Caenorhabditis elegans: one gene and its partner. Changing the gene in region 2 together with the main gene of any one other region gives a genetic interaction. Each region holds a gene or a part of one and is shown on either strand. Other genes may lie near its edges.

Region 1 (13,472 bases), on a different chromosome or scaffold from region 2:
TTCCAAACCGTAGAAATGAACAACTTGGCTTCTTCCTGATTTTCAATTGCAAGCAGTATAAAGTTACTGATAACAAAGCCGACAATGTAGCTAAGAACAATAATAAATATTCCTAACTTGATAAAAAGTTTGTAATATCGGAAAGTCATTGGAATGATAAATTTCATTCGATACATTGTTATATGCACAAGTATAACAATATCCATCTGAACTAACATGCAAAAACCGTATATTTGCAAGAATGGGTGTACACCAATCATTGACTGCAGTCCATTACAGTAAAAGCCAACAATTGGGGCAAAAACCATTGGACGAAGAAGTTGCAACCCGTAGAAGTCTTCACAGATACATCTGAAACTAATTGTATACATTATGTTATTTTAAACAGTTATAACTACCCTATTATATGAGCAGTCAGAATAATGACTTTGAAATTGTGTGATATTTTTAAAAATACAAAAAATAACTTTGAGACAGATGGGTAGTGTTATAAATGATATAAAATTGAGAATCGCCATAAAAACAGAATAACTGAAATCAATTTCAGCCAAATCGATTTCCACGCGACTCATTTTGTATATTCTCCTCAACAGGTGTACGCATTTTATAGCATTTTTGAGGGGAGCTAATTTTGTTACACTGCAATTGGGTGTTACATTATTATTGAATTTGTGATTGCAAATGAGGTTTTTAAAATGTTATCTTTAATTATGAGAACACTGTTCAGAGCGAATATTAAAGCTGTATTGAAAAACATTTTTTGAAAATTGTGTGCCAATATCCTTTCTCGTTGGGTCTGTAATCTGCCACAGACAGTTATTTAAACATGACGTACATTTTTCATTTCAGTTCATTTTTTTGAGATACTGAAAATTGATTTTCATTTAAAACGAAATTTCCAAGTTTTTGGTTAATTCAATTTCAGCAGTTTGACTCAAAATTCCAATTCAAGATACATCATTCTAGACTTTAGTCAAGCTCCAATGAACCATATGTTTTTTTTTGATTTATCAGAAATACACCTAAAATAGTGTTTCCAAGAAAATTCTGTGGGATAGGAAGTCAGAAGCATGGTGAATCAACGTGAAATTGGAAAATATATTCTAGTTTTAATGCGTCGAGGCAACATTGTTACTGTTAAAAGTCATTCATAAAGTAAAAAATACATATATTACTCCTCAAATAATCTAACTAGAGGAATTCGGAATTTTTTGCAACATCATCCTTTGAGCAGCGTTTTTTTTATTCTGTCTAAGATACAACAAATTGACATCCCAGATTGTTTAAAGTTATGTTTTTTTTAAACAGTTTTCACTTTTTATCCAGGGTCTGAAAATCACTTTCCCAACTTCAGCTTCGCTTTTAAATGAAATACGGTTGGGGCATCAATAGTTCAGCATCCATGTTCTGCGATTACGTGCATCTCTAAAACCGAACCCATTTTTTAATGCCTAAACTTGGGTTCAAGAGGGTGAATCCCCTCTTCTTCTTTTTTCCATTTTAGCAGCATCTCTTATTTTTTCGTAAATCAAATCAAATCTTTGAATGTCCCAGTGACCTACTACTAATAATAACTGGCCAAAAGTGAGACGAGGAAGTCGAGAAACGAGAGACATGTAAAACCGAGAAGCATGTAGCTTTGAACTCTGTTGGTCCCGTGCAGAAGCTCCCATTCTTCCTGTTTTTTTTCTAGTGTGAAACCTATATTATTCCTCACTCTCACAAAAGACCAAAAAGTCGTCGACGCGTGCGCGCGTTCAATTGAAGACAGCAGCAGTTTCTGAGCTTTTGATAAATATTTCAGAAGAGTTTCACCTCCATTCCTCCCACAATGATTTCACGTAAGCATAACTCATTTGATACTTCTTCTTTTCAGCTGTCTTCAAGAAATGAATTTGTTCAAACATCGTGGGATTTCCCTGAATTTTTTTCTTGGCGTGTTTCCTGGAAACCTGAGATTTCAATGTTTTTCGTCTTCAAATCACTAATTATTTTGTATCCAAAAAAATTGTCTAGAAAAATATTTTGGAAAATTAAAACTTTTGCCTCGAAATGTTAAATTGTAATTGAAGGGTTTTGGACTAAAAGTAGACCTGGAAATGTTGTGTCTGACTATTATAAAATCAAATTGTTCTTGTTTTAAAAGATGTAGCATTGTCAAATTCCAAAACATAGTCAAAAATGTTGCAAAATCGGGAAAGAAAAAATATCAAACCCGTGGTATTTACCCTAATAGATTTTTCTCCAAAACAATACTTTGAAACAAATCAGCGCTCAGGGCGGCGGCAGTAATTGCTGGCTGACCTGAAAATAGAGTTGTGCAGGCACCAAAACGCCTGTCTCCCTGCCTACCTGCCTGCAGTCCTCGCTCAAATATTGAACTTTCAACCTTCGGGAAAAGTAGGTCAAAAACTCTGAATCTTCTGGATTAAATTAAAAATGTTTTTAACATACGTAAATCTATATTTGAATTATTTTCTGCACGTAGACCTCCTTGATCTAAATTTGAATTATTAAACTCAGACATCATTTAATCGAAAATGTCATGTATTTCTATGTTTTCTGCAGGAAGTCATCATAAATCGCTCGCCCCCATTTTATACCGGACAGGATTAAATTTCATTTGACACTTTTGCAAATAATGATGTCAATATCTTATTTTATTTTTTTGATTAGGCATCTTGTTCTATTTATCCATATAATTCATTTTTCCAAGCCAGACATATTTGGCTGATCAAAAACTATTTCTTCTTTCGAGTAGCCTCAGTTCTGGTCCATGTGTCCTAATAGTTTCAACCCATCCGGTGTCTACATTTCTTTCAATTCTTCTTTTCCGTTCGATCCGTTATTATTCGAGTTGTGCACAAGTCTTTTTCTCTTACTCTTTTTCATCTTTAGGAGACCACACCCTCCCACAGCTTTCTTTCGACAAACCGCTTCTTCTTTTTTATAGCATTCCATTCGGTTAAGTCCGCCTCCTCTGTCCTATGGTCCCAAACTTTCTCTCTAAATTTCCATAATTTCTATCATCTGTCAGGACTAGAAAAAAGAGTTCTACCGACTTTTTCAACTTGTTTTTTATAAAATTTTGCCATTTTCCTGACTTCTCCGACAAGTCGTTCGATTCAGTTTTCAACTACTGTATTTGTTTTTTTTCTGTTTTTTCCCAGTTACACTTTCTACACGTTTTTGTGAAGTAGTCAAGGTGAATTTCCAAATTTTAACAAACTTTGAGAAAAATTTGTGGTTTTGAAAAATTTAGTGAAAAGTAGTGGCTCATGTTTGATGTTTTAATTTACAATGCTATAATTTACAAATATTAAAAAAAAAAGTAACAATTTTTTAGAATACAAAATCAGTAGGAAACATTCGTTTTTGGATGACTTTTTGACTGTACATTTTTTGAAAATTCAAAAGTTATTGGAATATGGCTGGCAAAGCTGATTTGGTTATTTTAGCCATACATAAATGTTTTTTCATCAAATCACCCCCCCCCCCCCCCCCCAGGTATTATTCACATTCAAACAGCAATTCTCCTCAAATAATCGTGCACCACACCGCTTAAATTTGACAGCTTATATTCTCGGTGGTCTTCTTTTTTCAAAAATATAAGAAAAAGTATGTGTACCTGAGATCTAACAAAAATTAAACCGAGATCACAGTTATTAAAGTGAAGGTATTGGGAGCAAATCTGATGGATTCACATAGTTTCCAATACTTTACGAATCTAGGTGGCCAATCTTCTTTGCATATTTACATGTGGTCAAGAAATGTTTTATTTGAATCTGAAATTATTTACCTTCCATACTTTGTAAACAACAAACATCCGCTTATTCAACCAATGATTTTTCGAGGATCATAACAGATTTTAAAATTGTACGTTTAATTTAAATTTCCAGACAATCAAAACACAAGCTTCGACATGGATTGACTATGGACATGGACACAGCTTATCCTGTTTATTCGTCTATGGTGAGCTACAGTTTGATCGCCATCTATAGGAAATCCAAATGAAAGAGACCTAACAAATACTTGGAAAAATGTAGTTTTTTATTAATTGCACCTGCTTCTAGAACAAGAAGTTCGTGCTTCGATCTCTATTCAATATTATTTCCTTATTCTGTAAAAGCCTGGGCGGTTTCCGGTTGAAAGGCTTGAAATGAAGATGAGAGAGCAATTCGTGGAAAGTGAAAACTGAAGGTTGATGACGTTGCTTTATTTCAGGAAGAGTGCACTGCTGAATGTGGATCCTTGGTTTCTTACTGCATTGGGCATATGCCGAATCTTGTGTGCCAACTCAATTTTGTTGCATTTTTAGCTGTTATCTTTTTCGCAATTTTTACCGGTATGCTTACAAGCTAAGTCTATAAGGACACTGGGTCCTATCAAAAATTCGAGGCTGCGTGTGACGTCACGCACGCTTAAAAAAATTTTTGTACAAGGACATCTTATTGATTCTCATTTAAGAAGAAATAATGATAATATTAAAAAATATATATTGTACGCGAAGTGCATGGAGGGATTGCATTGTGCCCATAATCAAATTCATTAAGCAAGGGTTGAGACCAGAGATGATTCGTCTCTACTCGGCTAACAAATATTATAGTAGGGAAATATAAATAAATATAGCAACGGCTTCTCCTACGCCAAGCGTTATGTTCTTAGTCCGAGAGTTTGGCAGTTAACTCGAAAACTGTCCACGTTTCGGAAAACGATGTATACCAAAATGTTCAAGAATACGGTACCCGGTTCTGGCACGACAATTTTTTGTTAAATCCGGTTTTAATGTTATATTTGATTTTTTGTAAATAAATATTTTTTTTTTCCAAAAAAATAATTAAAAATTGATGAAACTTCCGCAGCAATGAATTTTAAAATGCAGTACTCATTAAAGGCACACAACAATTTCCATGTAACAAAAATTGTCGTGTCGAGACCGGCTGCGGTATTTTTGGCGGAAAAATTGCAAAATTTTGCGACTGGATAGTATAACCTAGGGTGTAAATTTTGAAAAAGTAAACATTCGTTAATTCTTGTTCATATGCTATTCAGATGTTTGCTCTCATCTTGATTAGCCTATTTAAAGAAACCAAAACAAAACTACTGTAGTCAAAGTTTTGTATCAATTAAATTGGCGGAAGAAGCCGTCGATGTTTGTTCGTTTTCATTCAGAGCACCCGTTCGTTTGCTTTTTTCGGTGAAACGAGTAAAGGGAGTAATTGCAGACGGAACTCTTCGTTTCTTGTTTGTTTTAACTCGTCACTGAGCTCTTCTCATGTTGATGAATAAGCGGTGAACGCAAAGCAGGCAAAGAGATGCATAATCCGCGGTGTGCTGAAAGAGATTGGGTGAAAATAATTGCCTATTTTGAAAGTTGACGTCAAAAAATATGGAAAGAAAATAACTATATTGTTTTTGGGAAGAAAACGAAGATGGTGACAAATTACATGTCGGGATTCTTGTTTTAGTGTGTTAAGGGGCCATTCCTATATGATATTACGAGAACACTGAATTTCAAGAATGCGTATTGAGCAAAATATCTCGTAGCGAAAACTACAGTAATTTTTTTAAATGACTACTGTAGTGCTCGTGTCGATTTTCGAAAATGTTTTCTTTTCGAATTTGGACAGCGGGTTTCAATTTTGCTTCGCTTTTTCGAATTGTAAATAATTTTAATTGATAATCGCTGCCAAAGTTCGAGAAAATATTTTCGAAAATTGAGCCCGTAAATCGACACGAGCACTACAGTAGTCATTTAAAAAATTACTGTAGTTTTCGCTACGAGATATTTTGCGCGTCAGATGTTGTGCAATTCGCATTCTCAAAATGTAAATAGTGTTCCTGTAATATAGGCGCTGGGGAATTTTAGAGAAAATCAAAATCTATAGGAAAAAACTATGAAAATTCCAAGTTTGCCTAATAATGCATATTTATTTCAGGTATCTTCATTCCTGTTTCGTGCCTATTTTGTTGGGTAAGCGGTGGTTGTCGACGATCGAAATCCCGTCGAATGTCCTTCTTCGCAACACTTTCAAGTCGTCAAAATCGAAGTCGACGTGGCACAGGAAATGATGAGGAGCGAAGCAGTTTGTACCCTTCCTCTCCACCCACTCTTCAAATCCGTAAGTTTCTCTCTCTCTCTCGTGTTTTCCCATCCATTTTGAAGTTATCATCAAAAACCACAAAACTTCAAAATTCACCAAACTTTTCCAGCAGCATCCACAAAGTGCCGACAGCCATCGTCCTTTTCTCTTCCCGCAGTCTCTCACGACGTCATTTTAGAAGAGAGTGAATCTTCTGATCATGAATGGAGGAAGGCCAAGAGGTGCCGAAAGATAACATTTGATCTCTCAATGACACGCCGGGATAATGATCTTTCACAACTGTGATTAAATTCAAACTGAAATCTAGTATTAACGGGTGATTTTGAAAATAAAACAATTGAATATGGCGAAGCACTTCATTTGACTTCGAGCAATACAGGAATGCAAAAATAACTGGCGAACACAGCGTCTATAAAATACAAAAAAAACAGAAAGATGCTCAGAAAATACAATACGTGGGCACATTCAATAATGTTAGCAAGCGAGGTAGGTTAAACGGACTGGTAGTATATTTTCAATATAGAAGATCTGTTTTCCGATTGCTAATGTTGAGTGTATGTGAGAGATGGCAAAATAGGGAAGATGCTGAAACGCATTCCTACAAAATAACACCGGGGGGGTCGATATAGAAGCTACAGGGAAGAAAAACTAGCAACGAATCATTTGACAAGGACAACGAGTGTCGCTGTACAAGAAGATTCCGTAAAAAATTTGTTAAAGCTTTTTGGTTAAGTGAAAGTTTAGGGGTGTTCGATAAAATGCAAAACACGCAGTTAGTAGAAATAAAATGGGCGTATCAGTTGAACTGATTACTGGCTTGACGATTCTTTTGGTGGAGAAACAGACTTTCCGTGGAACGATGTGGAACCTTCGTAGAGAGCAGCGAGAAGATAATCAGGGCTGTTATGTGGGGACCAATGAATCTCTTCGTCTAAAATTTGATTTTTAAATGAAAATCGACAATCTAGAATCTAAACTATTTACCTGAAACTGTCTCGCTCTCTGATGATCTCAATCCAGAAGATGTCACAGATGGTGCTCTCTTTCCTTTGTTAGCACTATTATTTCCTGATCCAAAATGGTTTGAAGTGTCGAGAAGAGCAGTAATCTGGTCACGAAGATGATGTGGGAATATAGAGTTCAACTCCACATCAGACAGCTCGTGATTCGAAGAATCAGAACACTTATTGCTGCATGGTGAGTTTTGTCTGTGCATGCACATCAGAATACTTGTTTCCGTCGTAGGCTCGCCGTTTTTGCAGAAGTATTCACCAGCTGAAGAAAGCTTGAGCTCGCTGTGCTTGGTGCATCGAGGTGGTTTGGTCTGCACAAGACTACGCGTGTTGAAAATTCCATTGCTACGGTATGGTGCCATCATGAATCCAGCTTCGGGAAAACATGTTGTGTTCTCCTTTTCCTTGAACAACTGATGCATTGGCTCAGCTCTCCATAAATTATGAGGGGCTCGAAGATCGACACACAGCTTTGGTGGTGGCAAAACTTCATTTTGTGGATTGTTGATAAGCTTTCTGCGGGTTGGTGTCGCTCTTCTCACTTCTATAATTCTTCCTTGAACATGTGATTCGTGAAGCGCAGCACGAGCTTTCTCACAGGATTCGATGGAATCGAGTGTGACAAACCCGAACCCTTTGGATCCACGATCATTTGTGACGATTTCCACACTCAGGACTCTTCCATATCTGAAATTAATATTCTTATTCAGAACTTGTTGTAAATTGAAAACTCACGCGAAGAACATTGCCGCCAAATCTTGTTCACGAAACGAGAAGGGAATATTGCTGACATATATCCTAAAAGTTTTTTGATGAATTCATTAAAACGGCACGACAAATTTACCTGTTATCTGTGAAAGAAGCCGGCTCACGAGTTTTCGGTTTGACCGATATTGGCATTGTGAAAATTGGATCTTTGTTGGAAGGATTCGCACTGTTAAACGGTAATCTGAAAAAGAAATACTTAATACCAACATTTAAAAATGATAAACATACCCATCATGTGCTCTGTGAGCGAAGTTAGTAAATATCTGTGTGTTTTGCATTCTGAAAAAAAAAGTTGAATAAAGAAAAATGAGGAACTGGGTAAAGAAAAGACAAGACAACAGAAGACAAGTGCAGAAATGATTCCAAATGATGATAAAACGATTGAAAATATAATTTCACATTTTCCCGCCACCGAGTTACAGAAAAATCTAAAATCAAAATTTCGCGCCTTTGTGATCTTCTAGATTTCTAGTTCATACGAACGTCGGATCAGGTCTAAAAGTTAATATAACTAGACAATTTTGTGTTCTATTTTCGATTAAAAAAATTATTTTACGAATTACTAGAAACTAAAGCTTTAATTCGATTTTCTTTAGGCCAAGAGCAAAAAATAATTTTATTTGATTCAAACTCGCGCTTCATTCATAAGCCCCGCCTTCGCAATCCTGGCACGCAGTTTTTGCAAGGAGCGTGCACGCAGTTGCCTTTCTTCTCTTTTTCTCGTTTCATGTCAATTGCGTTTTTTTTCTCTGCATTTATTTTTTATTGAATTCTTTTCCCATTTTCCCATAAAATTTTATCTATTTTTTCTCATTCTTATAGTTTCTTTCAGATACTTTGCAAAAGAAATGATAATATTATAAAGAATGGCCCTTCGAAGGAAATTCACTTTTGAACTTCCGGAAGACAGTTATTGGAATGAATCTGACTCGAATTCATCCGGATTGTTTGATGATTTACAATCAAAACAAGTAAGTTTTAACGTAGTTATTATATTAAGAAAAAACGAAAAAAATCTTTTAAAACTATAAACGTGACCAGATGTTTTACTTTTAAAAAATTGAAAAAAAAGTAAATTAACACGTTTCTTAATTATTATATTGCTCAAATCAATGTGTTTAACACGAAAATTAAAGCTTCAAGCTCGAGCAGCCGTCGACAATCTCTTCGGTGGCGATGAGACTCCGAAGCCGTACGTCCGACCGCAGAACCCAACGCCAACTCCCACAAATGTTCCACTGCAAATTGACGGAAGAGCTGCTGCTGTGTCAGACAAGGCGAATATTCGAATAACAGAGTAAGTTAATTACATTGTTTTATGAATATAAATAAGTAATTTGCAGTACCTCTCCTCGGGCTTCTGGCAAGATTGTAGATGATTTCTTGAACATGAAATTCGCTGAGAACGTTAACGTGGCGCCAGTTATTCAGACCGCTCCATCTGTGGTTTCTGAAGCAAGTGCAAGTAGTTTACCAAGTGAAGCACAACGTCTTGATTTGGATTATAATCGATTGAGACAAGAACATCGGAAACTTAAAGATCAGCACGAAGTTAGCTATTAAAGTTTTAATATAGAATTTTGAAGATAATTATGATTCTAGGTTCTTCGCCACGAACGGTTTCAGCCGCTTACAATCGAGGCTAGTATCAAGAGAATGCTTCAAGGGCATACTGTAACACTGGATTACTATAGGTCATTACGTGATAAGACACAACTTTTGAAGCAAGCAGTTGCCACGTACGACAATAATACAATTTTCAAGGTCCGAACAGCTATGATACTAATTTTTTAAAAAGTTATCTTTCTTTACAGATTGTGATTTTTCTAGAGAGAACTCTCAAGGAAAACATATTCTGCAAAATAATGGATGGCCAGAAAAGTGCATGCCGAGTTTACACACGACATCTTCAGATCACCGGCGAGTGGGACAAGATGAACAAGTTTTTACGGTATTTAATAAAAACTAAATTAAAATTTGTTGAAATCAATTTCCCCATTTTATAGTAGCATTGGTCAGTATCAACATGCATCTGTCATTGAATTCGAAGCTACGCGAAAATACAAACGAAATCCAGACAAGCGAGTCCCGTTGCTCCGAACCATGCTTCATGGTAGCTTCTCAATTCCTGAAATGAAATTTGAAGCCCGACAAATGGAAGCGTTGATGAGAAACTATGAAATCCAATTGCAAATGGAGAAAATGGATGCTGGAGATAAAGGAGAACATTTCCGAAAGTTTCCAAAAACCAGCTCTCTAATTGGATTACCTGCTCTATCGTCACTGTATTATTCAGCGATGTACCATTACGACGATTCACCGGTACATTACTCTTCAGAACGTTGCAAAATCATTCATAATCGATGTATTACAGACATCTGCAGCTTCTCTACCATCAGTTCAAACATTGATCCGATTCAATGATCGACTTGCCACTCAAACGATCGTCTCAGCGTTGACTCGACTAAGCCGTTGGCCAGATATCGATAAGCTACTTCAACCGAAAACTATCACCATGACGTTCAGTGCAGCTAAAAGTAATTTTGTGGTTTTAGCTGAGAAAATATCTAAATTAACTGAATTTCAGGTGTGTTCAAAGGCAAAAAATCAACCAGTAAATGGGGAGTTTCCATCAATAATCACAATTTGCTGACTATTGTAAAACGATCTCATCCATCTCCACCGACTGATGTGAGGAATAGTTTTAACAAGATACCTATTATTCATGTGTGTAAATTTTCAGTTCATCTACCGTATCCTGAAAGGCGAATCTGATGCACAAGAACGTCTTCGCCTAGCACTACTATTTGATGTTCCTGAAATGGTCATCGAGTGTCTGACACAGAAAGGAGATCGTCTCTCGCTGGCTTCATACGCGAAATCTCTGAAAACAAATTCTGTGGAATCATTCAAAGCGGTGGCGGCTCTCAACAATCCGTCGATAAAATGGAAGTAATTTTATTAATTCGCTTCAATGTACTGTACATGTTTTTTCACCCTCACCACATCCCTCATCACTTTCATAATTCCATTCACGCATAGTTAGTTGTAGAATATACACAATCCTTATCATATTATAGAGCATCATTTCACTTCTTAATACTATAACATAATTTCACTATTCAGTCTTGTAAATGATTAAGAATTATTCATTTTCACTGGTTCCTCGCTCTCTCTTTTTTTCTGTAGATGTAAAAACTTGTCGTTATAGATATTTATTTAAATAAAATTTATTGTTTTCTATCTTTTATTTATTTCTTTAAAAAATTCGCCGTGAAACTTTTTTTTACTTTTAAAAATTTCCACGACGCTTTATTTTTCCTTTATTTTTATTTTATTTCGACTAAATCATGAATAAGGTAAGTTAAAATTATTTTTGAATAATCAGAATGATTTGAAAACAAACGCGCTCCATGTCAAAATGAAAACGCTCCGCCCCCAACAGATGGGTCTCGTTAGGTATTGGCGGAAAACCACTAAATTCAAATTGACCCATGGAGCGCGCTTGCACCTCAATTTCAAAGATTTGTTGTTTCAGACAAGTAAGACTACTGCAAGCAGCTCTAAGAAAACATCAATTTCGAGTGGAAAACCGAAAACTCCACGACGAAAGAAGCCCGGCGCTGTTTCAAGGTGAGCAATTTTTCAAAATTTTATTTCAAATTCGGAATTTTTTTCAGACTTCTCACCACAGAACTACCGCTGAATTTTCTCTTCATTTACATTGTGTTGGCTGCAATGTTTACCACCCTGATCTTCTGGTCACTTAATCCGGTTAAATTCTAGTGATATTATTTCGTAACAGCTCTCCGGTTCAAAATAAATAACAAGACTTATTTTATACAAAAACACGGATGCAAGAAAAAAGGAAAAGAAAATTGCGCGTTAAACAGAAGAAGCTCGATGAAAAAGTGAATCAGGCGAAACAAAAAAACCATTTGATAATAAAATTGGGCACTTTTCGGTATTTATATGATAGGGTAAGGCAATTAGTTGACACAAAAGAAACGAACACGGAAATTGGGAGAAAATGGTGGAAAGAGCGAGGAGATCAACAAATTGATTTATTTTACAGGAATTGGTGATGATGGTGGGGGAATTTTGGTTTTTTTTCTATTAAATTATGCGTGAAATAATGATGAACTAGAATCGAGTGAGGAGAAAGCAGAATACATGAGTTGTGACCCGGTGTAGGGAAAATGTGTAGGTTAAATACGTTTTTTTCTTCTGGAAACAAAAGCAGATATATGCGATGAGAGAGATCTTATCCAGCGATTGGAGTATCCGTATGTCCCATAAGTAAGCTGACGTCACAAGTATCGCCAGAGTTTCGGGGTGACATTGGTTGCGATCGGAGGATTATTACTCTGGAAATGAAGATTTATCGATTTGCCTTTTAAAAAACTGAAAAAAACCTAAAAATTTATGAAAAAATACTTGTATATTTTTGAATTTTTCTTTGTTTTATTCTGATATTTTCATAGAATTTACGCCCTTTCAATGATAATTGTAAGATAATATATAGGATGCTTACAATTAAGTCGTTTAAAATTTGAATTTTGAAGTTTTCAGAAAAAATTTACAAAACCACATTTTTGCCGTTTTTTGGCTTTTTGTTTTTTTCGATTTTGCAACAAGAAAAATTGGATTCTCTCTTGATGAACATTAATTCCATATTTAAATCTGCGTTTTCGCATTAATGCGATATTACTTAAGTTGAATTTTTTTAAAACTAAGACAACTAGAGTTATTAAAATTTTAATAAGTTGATTTTTGTTTAAAAAAAGGTTCTTTAGAATATGGAGATTGCCTTTTTAAAATTACATTTTCATATTTAAGAATGATTTGTTTTTTCCAAAATTTGAGAATTTTTGTTTATTTTACGTTTTTTATACTAAATATCATGACTGTATTTTTTTCAATTCATTTTTTTCAATCATAATCTCAAAAATTGTACCTATCATCACCGATCACACGATATAATCGAGATACATCGCACAAATCCTGAGTATTCAGATTACTTTTCAAATCTCTGCCTTGAACTCCATTTGCATGAAAAGCGAGAATCGTTCCATCGACGACGTGTAGATATTCAATGTGAAAATTGAAAGTGAAGATCGACGGCTTCGGGCGTTCGAATCCCTGTAGATCAGTCAACACTACTTTATTGCGGAATGAAAAGCATAATGTATCTCTATCAATTTGATGCATACTTCCAACTTCAAGCATTTCGTCATCGGCAAGACTTCCGTATGATGAGTTTAAATCTCCACTGAGCTCAGAGTTATTAGTTGATGAGCAGAAATTGATCATATTGAATTGATATTCATTTGATCCAGACATTTGACCAACTCCAATGCATAATTCTGGGAAGTCTGATGTTCGTGAATTAATCAATGCAAATGGTCGAATGGGGAAACGAATGTCTTCTCGAATAGGCTCACTTCGAACCAAAACAAACTGATTCATTGGATTGTACCTGAAACAAAAACCATTTTGCATTATTATACTTAAAATGAACGAATTATGTAGTGGGAATTCTTTAAGATTATAAAAAAGTTTATGGTAGCTTGAAACTTTGAAAAGG
Region 2 (11,834 bases):
CGTTTTTCTCAAACTTTTTAGATAGAGTTTAAATTTTAAAATACTATTTAGATATATCCATTTTCAGGTTCAAATTCTACCAGAAACTAATAATAAACGTATTTCTTTTTGTTCTTGGATGGTTTTTCCTTGGCGCTGGACTCTATTCAAGTATTGATGATATTATTAATAATGATGTTTAATTTCAAATATTTCTTTTTTTTTTTGTAAAATGTGTCCTCTCATCAAGCATTACAATTTGTTACGAGTATTCATCGTTTTCACACCATTTCTATTTTTTCTAATTTCTGTGATGTTTCTCCCCGTTTTTTCTTGAATTTTCGGTTGACCAGGCCCGATGTGATAAACTTTTTACGATTAATTTTACTCATCAAACGACTTATCAAGATGATAAGAAAACAAGATTTCGGAAGTAAATAACACTTTTTAGTCTACTTTGAAGATGAAATATGTATAGTTAGGTCCTTTTCAATTTGAATGAGTGGTAGCGGTTACAGGTTTTTGCTCGTATAATAAAAATGTACCCGATTGAATAATTTTCGTAATGAGTATTCTCAATAATTGTGGAATGATTTTTATGACAGTTCGAAACAAAGAAAGAGGGAAAAGTTTAGCTTCAACAACCCAAGTTTTAAAGGCAATTTCATAAGTTTCAGAAACTTCATAACTGAAAAATAAATAAAATACATTTTAAAGGACTTAAAAAATAAAAGCGCGAACAGAACATTTTGGAATTTTGAAAATGATATTTTAGAAACATTTTCTAACTTCCAAAAACAATTTCAATTAAATAATTAAAATCCAAAATTTCTCCAACATTTTAGAGACCATCACTCCAAATGCTACGAAATTAGCTACCAAATATTACCCAAATGATTTTTTGCCCAAAACGAAATTAAGATTCAAAAACTAACACGGATGCCCTAATTGATGTCCGTCTTGTTGATTTTCTTACTTCAACTATTTTGAATATCGAAACTGTTTTCGATAATTCTGATAGATAATCGACAGTTAAGGTGACGTATGGTGACCACATGTTCTTCTAGAATTTTTAATTTTTTTAAAATCAAATAATTTTTTTAAATATACTTATATATTTTTTGATCAAATGATCAAATGTACTAAAGTAAATAATTCGTCAAATTGAAAAAGACAATAGTACCTCCAACGATATCCAGTGTACTCAAAACATTAGTACCTAACAAAAATTCTATCACTAGTATGATTTATTATCAACATAGATATACTTGAACTACATATCAAAAGATGTAGTGACCTTGACACTTTGCTTCGACAGTTTTCAAAGTTTTTATATTTGAAACAACACATTGATTAAAAAATTAATAAAATGTTCATTTGAAATTTTCAAATAAAACTGAAAGTGTTGTAAATAATAAAACAAAGAAGAAATGAAAAATAAATCATGAATCGACCCAAGTGTTTCGTATTGATGTTTGATGTAGTTTCCATTTTATCCACGTCCCGGGCAACCATGTCCATTACAGAACAAATATATTCCATTTTGTGGAGTACCTTCGAAAGAGTTACCGTATTGATCGTATCCAACACCTGCAGAAAATTAATATTTTTAAACCTCTTTGAAACCTCTTTTTAAACCAATTTTGTGGTTGTCTAGATTTTACATGATTTAATATTAACTATTTTTCAACGAATGTTAATAAGAAATTCTAATTTACCTTGAGAATTGTAACCCCATGAAGGTTGGGACCATCCACCAAATAATTGACAATACGAGGTTGATATTAACATTAGAACAATAACCATAAGCAATGTAATCAAATAATTGGACATAGTTCAATAAGAAAGAGACGATCACTTTGAAAATTGAATTTGTTATTGAAAGTCCTCCTATCAGCCTATTAGATTTATATCAGTAACAAAGAAGGCGTATCATCTCTGCGCGTACGAAAAACCGAGTGCGTCAAGTACAAGAATCACCTGTGACTTCATTGGCGCAGACACCAGATCATCGGAACAAATTGTTGTGAACCAAAAAGTTGTTTCAGTACTTTGGATAAAATGTTAATATAAAGTTCTTATAAGGTTTTATTATCAAAATATATAAACTGACATGTGAAACGTGGCTTATTTTTTATTTTGTTTTTTATTTAAGCTCCTCCCATTTCTGACCTTTCGTTAAAATTTTTATTTATTAGTTCATTTTAAAAAAATGGGAGGCGCTTAAATAAAAAACAAAATAAAAAATAAGCCACGTTTCACATGTCAGTTTATATATTTTGATAATAAAAAATTAAGGTTTTAATAAGAAAATCGAAAAAAAAAACAGAAAATCAGCGAGACATTGAGATTACAGAACATTTTAAAGGCACATATCTTTATTTTTCTAACATATCAGGTCGCGCCGAGACCGGGTATCGTAGTCAAAAACCGCAAAATTTTGCATCTGGGCAATATTTTCCAAAAAAGGGCAGAAATTATGACAAAGACGGTTCCAAACGAGTTACCTATATTTGGAAGATAATAATTTATTTTCGTATTTTCTCATCACGCAATTTTTTCAGTGAACTTCATTTTTCAATTAACGTAGTACATTCTTCGTATCTTGTTTATCAATCAATAAATCTTCAAAATTTCAATCATTGTTGATTAAACTTTCGAAGAAGAAAATTCCAAGTTAGCAAGGATCATGAGTGATTGCAATTGGACAAATCCATTGTGCAACACATCACTTCTCCTCGCAAGTGGATATGCTCTCTGGTCGTGTGCTTCAAAGAAGAATAAGGTAATTTAATCATAGTAAATAGTAAATATAATAGTAATTTGGGTTTTAATCAATTATTTTCGTTTTATCGCGAGCAGTAAACTTCAGTTTCTAAATCCTTATCCAGCGTCTAGTTATTTTGAAAAGAGTTTAAATCAGAGATCCAAAAAACTGCGAGTTTTTTCTTTCAAAAAAAATCAATTTTTCAGAAGGAGACTAAAACCGAAACTAAAAAATCACATGATTGTCCTCCACAAACCATCGAACCTGTTAAGGATGAGAAGAACTCAAATTCTGAAGAAAAGAAAACAACTTCTTCTAATAATGAAGTTCCCCCACAGAAGAAATTGATTGGAAACGATGAAGTGAAGAAAGAGAAAAAGAAAAGTGAGGATGATTTGTTGGATGTTAAGAAGACGGCAAGTAAGGAAGATGATAAGAAGAGGATGGATAAGAAGGATCCTAGTAAGAAGCTAAGTAAGGAGAAGCTGAGAGAAGAAAAGAAGGAGCAGAGCAAGAAAGTGAATAAAGAGAAAAAGATGAACAAGTCAGAATCAGTTGATGAAGATAATGAACAACCACCGGAGCCTGGAAGTGATCCAAGGAAGATTTGGGCTTTTAAAGCTGCTAAAATGGTATGGAATCTGATTAGTTGATTGTACAATATTCCCTTTTTTAGAAATGCCAAGCGATCAGTAAGCTTCATCAGGATAAGATCAAAGGGTACATGCCACCGAACTGTACCTATACCGCTTATGATGCTAATCCGGATCTCAATCGCTATGCAGATGTTCGTTGTATCGAGGAGACACGTGTCGTTCTGAAGAACCATGACCGTGACTACATCCACGCGTCGTGGATGAGAATGCCTGGGAAAGATCAGTCCACGTATATCACAACACAAGGACCACTTCCAGAGACTCTCTCAGACTTTTGGCATATGATTTATCAGGAGAAGATTGCCTATGTCTTGATGCTTTGCACTTTGTTTGAAGGTGGTGTTGAGAAATGTGCTCTTTATTATCCTGAAAAACTCGGTGAAGTTGTGAAATTCGGAAAATACGAGATCACACTGACTGAATGCAAAGAAGAAGCCATCGCAGGAACAATTTGGAATGCTTTGACTGTAACCAATACGGAGGATGCCTCTTCTGAACCATTGTACATGAATCATGTGCAAGTTCCATGGTGGCCAGATCAATTGGCTCCGGAGGATGCTCGTCCGATGATCGAATTGTATAAATGGGTGAAGAAGGTGAATCCAAAGGAAACGCCGATTTGTGTGCATTGTAGTGCTGGTGTCGGAAGAACTGCCACTTTTGTTGGTAAGTTATAAAATGAACAATACATTCCACAGGGGCAAACATTTATATTCTGTTAGGTATCGACTACGCGACTATCCGCATAATGGAAAATCCGAATATTGAGATGTTGGATATTGTCCGTGAGATGCGTGCAATGCGTTTCCAAGCTGTTCAATCTCATATGCAATTCCTATTCCTTTATGTTGTTTTGATGGAGTACTTTATTGGGGTATGTTCTTCATATTTTTGTACATGCAACAACTCCAAATTTTAGGAAGGAGTCGTTGAACGTACCGGACGAGTTGACACTTTTATGACTCAATACAAGAAGCATGCACAGAAGAAGTTGGCAAAACGTGCGGCCCAGAATCAGTGAGTTTGCTGGTTTTGGAATTAAAAATAGTGATAACTTTTAGACAAGGCGAGAAATTGGCAGCGGAAGAAAAAGAAAAGGATAAAGTTAAAGTATAGAACTATTATTTTATGAAATTTTAATAAATGGAATAAAGTTCAACTCATGTGTTGTGTTTTCTTTGGTTGATTTGTTTTTTCATTTCCATTTCAGATCGAGGGAAACTTTTAAACCTACTTTTTAACTGACATTCTCACAAATAAAATTAGCAATTCAACTGTCAACTCAATAAAATTAGCAATTCAACTGTCAACTCAATAAACTCCTCAACATTTCAATACATAACAATTGATATTAATTATACCTGTTGAGACAGTTATGGGGTCATTAGTTATGATTTCCTTCGTTTATGGCACAAATCAGAGTCAACCAAGAAATTGTTCCTTTCTACGAATTTTAAATACTAATTATTTCTACCTAAAAATTAGACAAGTTCGAACATGCGTAATTCTCTTAAATTACTTCAGAAATGTTATTTTTTTGAAAACTTTGGTATTTGCCAAAGTTTTAACTGTTTTTTTTTTCGTTAAGAAATAATTTATGTTGCATGCATTTGGACTGTTATGTATTTATTAAGTAACAGCCACAGGTTGAAAATGTCTATTCTCTAGAGTCTAGACGGACAATCTATGCGGATATTTCAACAAACTTTATGAGATTCGTAATAAGACATATTTACGTCAAGAAAGTATACTTTTCGAAAGACTTTCGAAAGTCGATATAAATATCCACCGACGTTTACGTAATATTCAAAATATCGTGCTACTGTACAGTTAATCTAAAGCCTTGGGTACCTAGGAGCTCTTGCCTTTTTAGTTATTTTTTCATTAAAACCCCCAATATTTGTATTTGCTCATAGAACCAATTGATTTCTTTGGGAATCTACTGAAATATGTGCGCGTTTTAATTATTGCGTTGTCGATCAATAAATTTGTGAAGGCGAATGAAGAGAGGGGAGGGGGTTTTGTTCTGACCATCTGTCCATTTTTTGAATGGTTTCCTGTTTTGTTGTTTTTTAAAGCACTTATTCACTTCTCACCTCACCTAAAAATCATTCTATTTTCCCGTTAGAATATTGTATAGCGATTTTTATTATGATTAGAAAATCCAATTTTAACTTTCAAAAATCATATTCTTAAAAAAATGTAAAGGTTTTAGTTATCTAAGTTTTGTTTTTAAAAACATAATCACTTGTTTTATTTCCAAATTTCAACGACTTTCATGGGTGACAGATTTTAGAGCAAGGGTCTCGTCACGCGTTCTAAAAACATTTTGTGTGTGCACCTTTAAGTTACTGTAAGAATTCTGTAACAAAAAAGTCAATCGAAATTTCCTTCTGAGATTTTTTGTTGAGAAAACACGGATATTTGCAGAAAAAAGTTTTTTCTAAATGTGCAACTTTTTCTTTTCTTGGACTTTCTCAATTTCACTAGTTTCATAATTTTCAGATGCAGCCTTCAACCAGCAACCATAACGATCCATATGCAACACAATTCGAAGACGGAAACTTTACTAATTGGGGAGAGGCCGAAATTTCCGATCGAAAAAAGTTTTTTGACAGTGTGCTCGCGGATCGTGCGCAGAAGAACCATGAAGAGGAGCAGAAGAAAAAATTGGCGAAGAAAAGAAAGTGAAATTTTGGCATTACATATATAAGTTCGATTTTTTAAGTAAAAGTAAAAATAAATTCATTTCTATAAACTAGATAATAGATTGATGCTAAAAATTTAAAAACAAATAAAGTCAACAATTGAAAATACTCCGGAACTTAATTCTTCTTCATACTGGGACTATTCTGCAAGTGTAGGAACTTAGTCTTCAACTTCTGAATTCGTTGATTTTGCTCGACTTGTCTTTTTCTTAGAGCTCTCCAGTACAACCATCCATCCTTTTCGGCATCCAAATCTTCTAAATCTCTTGGTGCTCGAAGATCCAATTTGAACAGCCATTCAGGATACTCCGAGTCTGGAAGAATTTTCGGTCCCGGCTCATCTCCTTGTGTGTATGCATTGATGCATACGTGGGTTGCCAATTTGACAGCATCTTCTTCGACGAAAGATTTGTCGACTTTTACACCTGCAGCAGCTGCTGCAGCTTTTGGTGGAGCATATAAGCGTCGAGGTATCAGTGATGTAGTTCGACTGACTGTTGAAAGAGTCGAACGGAGCATCTGAAATTTTGAAACTAGAACTCTTGAAATCGCACATACTCAAAGCAAGATAATATTGCGTTCAACTATGTACAAGCAAAATATCTTTAAATGTGATAATTTCATTTTTCGGGTCGAACTTTTCTTTAAAAAAGCGGAAAAAAGCTCAACCATGAACTGCCTCCATTTTACTTTAATTAATTTTTTAAAAGATTTACTTTATTTGCTTTTCGAATAATTGTTTTTACTATAAATAGAAAAACTGCAATTTTAGAATGTGACATTCTAGAATTTTTTGAAGTTATTATAAAAATTTGCTAGCTCCATCGAGAAATATATTGAAATTTTTCTCCGGCACACTTGATCGACATAATACATGCACATTAGATACGAAAAAGTATTCAAACTTCTTTTAAAAACAATTTTAAAATCTTATAAAATACAAGATCTTTTTGTTTAAAAATAACACAACCAGTCATAAAATAGAGAAATAAAATCCACAGATAAGTGAGAACAAAATACAGATATGTCAGAGGTTTTGAGGGGTAATAACTGTAATTCACAAAAAAAAAGCAATAGAAAAATTATTCCAAAGAGCTAAGTTTACTAGATCTGACACGTTTTGCAGATGCTGACGATTCTGGCGATTTCAGCAATCGTTTTCCTGTGCTCAATCGAGACGACGGTGAACTTATATGTCCAGTTGAGAGAGGAGTTGGCTTCTCAAAGCTTTGCACATACATCTGTTTTGCTGCACCTCCAGGTCCATTCAGAACTTCTTGAAATGTGACAGCAAGAGTGGTTTTTGACAGTAGAGATGGCTTGCTGAGTCTCGGTTTGAACATTGTTTCTTCGGAGAATTCGATTACAGTTTTTTCAGTTTTCTTGAATAACTTTCCGGCGCGAGCAAACATATCATCGCCTTGTTTCGGCTCATCGAGCAACATCAATTCTTCCGCCTGAAAATATTATGTAAAATAACTTCAAGAAACATATAACTTTTTTAAAAACTATGCATAACATTTGAAAGAATTTTAATATTTTTGGATTTCATTTAGAATATAACAAAATCAAAAGGAGTAATAATTTTTAATTACCTTTTTTCGAACAATGTTTTGTGCTCAAAACATTTTTTGTGGGAAATTATTATCAACTCACATGTTCATATTTGAACTTGATCATTTCGGCTCGTTCCTTCTTTTTTTGTTCATCTTCTTCTGGTTCATCATCTTCTCCATCACCATCATTTCCATCTACATCATCTCCCATTTGAATTTGAACTTCTTCTCGTAACTTGAAACGGAATTGACGATTCGTCTCAACTCCACCGAGATCTCCGTCGGCAAGTAGACGGTCTTGAAGTTTTGCAAGCTCTCTGGAAAATTATAAATTAATTTTTGATTCTACATGCCAAAGTAAAAAAAATAGAGAAAATATATTACCTTTGTTCCTTATCGTTTTCCTGTTTCAGCAACAACTTATGATTCTGCCTCCGAATAGTATCATTATCGGGAACATCATCTGCATCTCCTTCTTCTGCTTCATAAACGTTTTCCATGCCTTCTTCATCTTCTAGATCACTTCCAACATCATCACCGGAAAGTGAAGCTTCATCATCAAAAAGTGTTCTCTTTTTGATTTTTTGTTTGTATTCTTGGTGTTGCAAACGTTTCAAGATAGCTAATTCATCGTCTTCATCGTCGAAATTTGGATCCGGAGCTTCTACTCCTTCGGTTTCAGCTTCATCATTCTCACTCTCGATGTCATCTTCCTCTGGTTCTTCTTCATCATCACCTTCTTCTTCAGCTTCTTCAGCTTCTTCATCACTATCTTCACCATCACTCAGAACAACTCTTTTCAGCTCGGTTTTTTCTTCTAAAACTGTTTCTATCTTTTCAGTGAATTCACCAGATTTTTCGCAAATTTCTTTGATAGTTTCGGAATCTTCCAAAGTTCCCGATCCAAAAACGTCTTGGCTTGGCAATGTCTCCTCGATGACGTCATCTTCTTCGTCCGAATCCAAAACTCGATGATTTTTCACTGCCGGAAGTCTCCTCTTCACACCAACATCGTCTTCGTCTTCAGATTCAGATTCTTCCAAGCGGGGCTTGTCTGACGACACGGACGTCGAGTTTTGTGGCAGATTTCTTTAAAAAGATCTCATTTAATATAATTAAATCGTTTGGAACACAGAACAATGTTTTCGAAAGTGAATAAGCGATCGTGGACGATTTTTTCTTGTATTTTTTTTTTAAGATTTGCAGAAAAAACCACAAATTAGAAAGTCAAAAAAAAACAACCGAAATTTCATTTCTTCACAGTTGAGCTGTAAGCGCGCTCTATCGATAATCAAGATTTGATAAAGGAACGAGATCCAAAAAACCTCTCTAAATTTATGAGAAAGAATTATCAAGTTCTCTATTTAAAAGATTTACAACAAATTATCTTTTGTTTAATGATTTGATAAACTTTTTCTTTGAGAATGCGAATAGTTTCAAGGAAAAGAAAAAGGGCTCCAATTTCAGATTTTCCGGAATGAGATTAAGTTTTCTAAAACATACATTTTTCTTTCAGTCGTGTCTTCTTCTATCAACATTTGCAAAGTGTCTGGAAAACCAGCAGACTGTGAAACTCCAAAACTTCCAGGGCACAAATTGAGAATATCGTTGGATCCGCCAGTAATTTCCGTCATTGTCGGCAGTTGAACTACTCCATTTTTTTCAACAACATCTGCTTCGGAACGCCTAAATTTTATTTATAAAAACTCTATCAATCAGAGATTTCTTTGAAAGATCTGACACATATGTTACACAAAAACCGCAGAAAATAAATTTAGATGAAACACTAACGAGTCGAAATTTGAAACAGTTGATCCAGGTCCTGATCTCTTCACATTATTGAAAACATCGTAAGTAAACGAGTCATTCAACAAGTTCACACTCATTTCATCGTCGGCTCGGCCATTATTCTTCTCATCTGAATCTTCTTCTCCGCTATTTTCAGGTTCATAGTCTTCATCATCTTCGCTTTTATATTCTTCTTCATTCACAGGTTTCTTTCCCTTCTTTTTTTTAAAAACGACATCTTCTTCCTCTTCTTCATCACTGCCAGCCTTCAGATGTTCATTATCCTCTTCATACATTTTCCGACGTTGCTCTTGTTCTGAAAACTCAAAAATTGTAAAAATTTAACACGAAGCCGATACCTTTCCGTCGCTTCGCTGACATCGAAGCTTGAAGCTTCTTTTTTAAAGTCTCGCTGGTCAGAACTGGAAAAAGTAAGTTAAATCAGAATTATTACGAACGAAACTAACGGCTCTTGGGTGCGTTCTTCGATATTTTTCGAGGAACGGCGAATAATTTAGCTTCTTCCGGACTTTTTGCCAATTTCGGAATTTTTTCAGCATTAAACGTCTTTTTGAACCATTTGTTACTTGGGTCATCATCTTCATTTGTCAGGTCAATCGTACTATTGGCAGATAATAGGACTCTCCCAAGCTTCGGAACAGGAAGAGGACTTCGTTCTAAAGCCAGTGCTTTACGACGATTAAGACGACGAAGTTTTCGGTCTTCTTCAGCTTGCTTATCGACTTCCGTGTTTTCACTAGATATCAGCTGCTCCTGAAATATGTATTTCGATCCAGTTTCGGTCTTAAAACCATTACCTGGGAATCGGACATGGTGTGTTCGGCAACTAGAGAAGATGGAGAATCTGTATCGTCTGCTGACACGGTTTTTGTTGAACAGGAATCAGAATTCATCTGGAAATTAAACTAAAACAATATTAAAAAGAAGTTTGGAAAATTTCAGTCTATAGAGCGTGATTTTCTTCGGTCAGTTATAAAGTACAACATTATGATAAATGTAATGGCCCTTTTTTGACTTTATTAAGAAAAAGTTAAACAGATTTGACAATTTTTTGTAGAAAAATAAGGAAAAAATGGCATTAAGATTCAAAAGTAGGCGCGAAAATGAATTGGTTGGCAGAGCGCCAAGTGTTTGAATTGGCGCTCTACCGTACTTTGCCTGCACATCTAACAGATCTTGCTGGAGGAGTTGACAACGCAAATTTCTTTACTCTTGTCACGCCGCTATCCTCTGTGCGGTCCTTTTTTGTTGTTGTATCTGAAGAGAACCCTACAAAAAACTAAAAATGGTGAGTATTTATCCCTCTAATTATTGTAACTGTACGTTCTGATGAATTGTCGTCTATTATTTTCGAAAAAAATTTAGGACAAAAACGTAAAGTTTCAAAATAATTAAATGAAATTAGCAAATTTTGGGCCTACTGAGATTTCGTTCCCGGATATGTTAATTAAATTAAATTTCAACTGAGAACCATTCAGTATTATCAAAATCTGAATTAAATTATGGATTTTCAGAAAAAATTTCGTTAGGTAAAATTTCATAATTTTTATCGATTGAAATAATTATTTTTTCCTCTTCAGGTCAACTTCACGGTCGATGAGATCCGTGCGCTTATGGATCGCAAGCGTAACATTCGTAACATGTCTGTTATTGCTCACGTCGATCACGGAAAATCTACCCTTACCGATTCACTCGTTTCCAAAGCCGGTATTATTGCCGGATCCAAGGCTGGAGAGACTCGTTTCACTGACACTCGTAAGGATGAGCAGGAGCGTTGTATTACCATCAAATCTACGTAAGTTCATTTTTAGGATTTCAGCTTAAATATAATATTGTTTTAGTGCTATCTCTCTTTTCTTCGAGCTCGAGAAGAAGGATTTGGAGTTCGTCAAGGGAGAAAACCAATTCGAGACGGTTGAGGTTGATGGAAAGAAAGAGAAATACAACGGTTTCTTGATCAATTTGATCGATTCACCCGGTCACGTTGACTTCTCGTCTGAAGTTACTGCTGCTCTTCGTGTTACTGATGGAGCTCTCGTCGTCGTCGATTGTGTTTCCGGAGTGTGTGTCCAAACCGAGACTGTGCTGCGTCAGGCTATTGCTGAGCGTATCAAGCCAGTTCTTTTCATGAACAAGATGGACCGTGCCCTTCTCGAACTTCAACTCGGAGCCGAGGAACTTTTCCAAACCTTCCAAGTAAGCTTTGTGTTTCAACTGTAACATTGTTATATATTTGTCGTTTAGCGTATCGTTGAAAACATCAACGTCATCATTGCCACTTACGGAGACGACGATGGACCGATGGGACCAATCATGGTTGATCCATCTATCGGAAACGTCGGATTCGGATCTGGACTCC

What was found.
Region 1: of mrpl-54 (region 2) and spn-4, a change in one rescues a mutant of the other (synthetic rescue), as found in Caenorhabditis elegans (one study listed by BioGRID).

What each region holds. Positions count from the first base shown.
Region 1 is NC_003283.11:6,776,740-6,790,211, forward strand, and holds spn-4 (RRM domain-containing protein), read right to left. Parts: upstream 8,165-13,472; 5' UTR 8,164-8,164; coding exon 8,114-8,163; intron 8,067-8,113; coding exon 7,962-8,066; intron 7,916-7,961; coding exon 7,853-7,915; intron 7,805-7,852; coding exon 7,089-7,804; intron 7,036-7,088; coding exon 6,914-7,035; 3' UTR 6,448-6,913; downstream 1-6,447. Other genes in the region: ZC404.15 (uncharacterized protein), read left to right, coding at 3,934-3,972, 4,225-4,345, 5,940-6,122, 6,214-6,389; spe-39 (Spermatogenesis-defective protein 39), read left to right, coding at 8,752-8,856, 9,022-9,182, 9,229-9,436, 9,488-9,649, 9,700-9,836, 9,892-10,207, 10,260-10,422, 10,473-10,576 and 1 more; ZC404.2 (ABC transporter permease), read left to right, coding at 11,236-11,244, 11,424-11,518, 11,566-11,671; gck-2 (Mitogen-activated protein kinase kinase kinase kinase), read right to left, coding at 12,150-12,252, 12,843-13,364.
Region 2 is NC_003279.8:9,152,894-9,164,727, forward strand, and holds mrpl-54 (Large ribosomal subunit protein mL54), read right to left. Parts: upstream 6,630-11,834; coding exon 6,228-6,629; downstream 1-6,227. Other genes in the region: slc-36.4 (Amino acid transporter transmembrane domain-containing protein), read left to right, coding at 68-182; H32K16.2 (uncharacterized protein), read right to left, coding at 1,472-1,569, 1,698-1,812; F25H5.7 (Protein-tyrosine phosphatase), read left to right, coding at 2,669-2,764, 2,953-3,378, 3,423-4,068, 4,125-4,276, 4,322-4,419, 4,464-4,518; F25H5.10 (uncharacterized protein), read left to right, coding at 5,908-6,093; clsp-1 (Claspin), read right to left, coding at 7,193-7,567, 7,767-7,983, 8,051-8,755, 9,170-9,352, 9,458-9,770, 9,814-9,876, 9,922-10,228, 10,273-10,368; eef-2 (Elongation factor 2), read left to right, coding at 10,761-10,763, 11,056-11,270, 11,317-11,671, 11,720-11,834.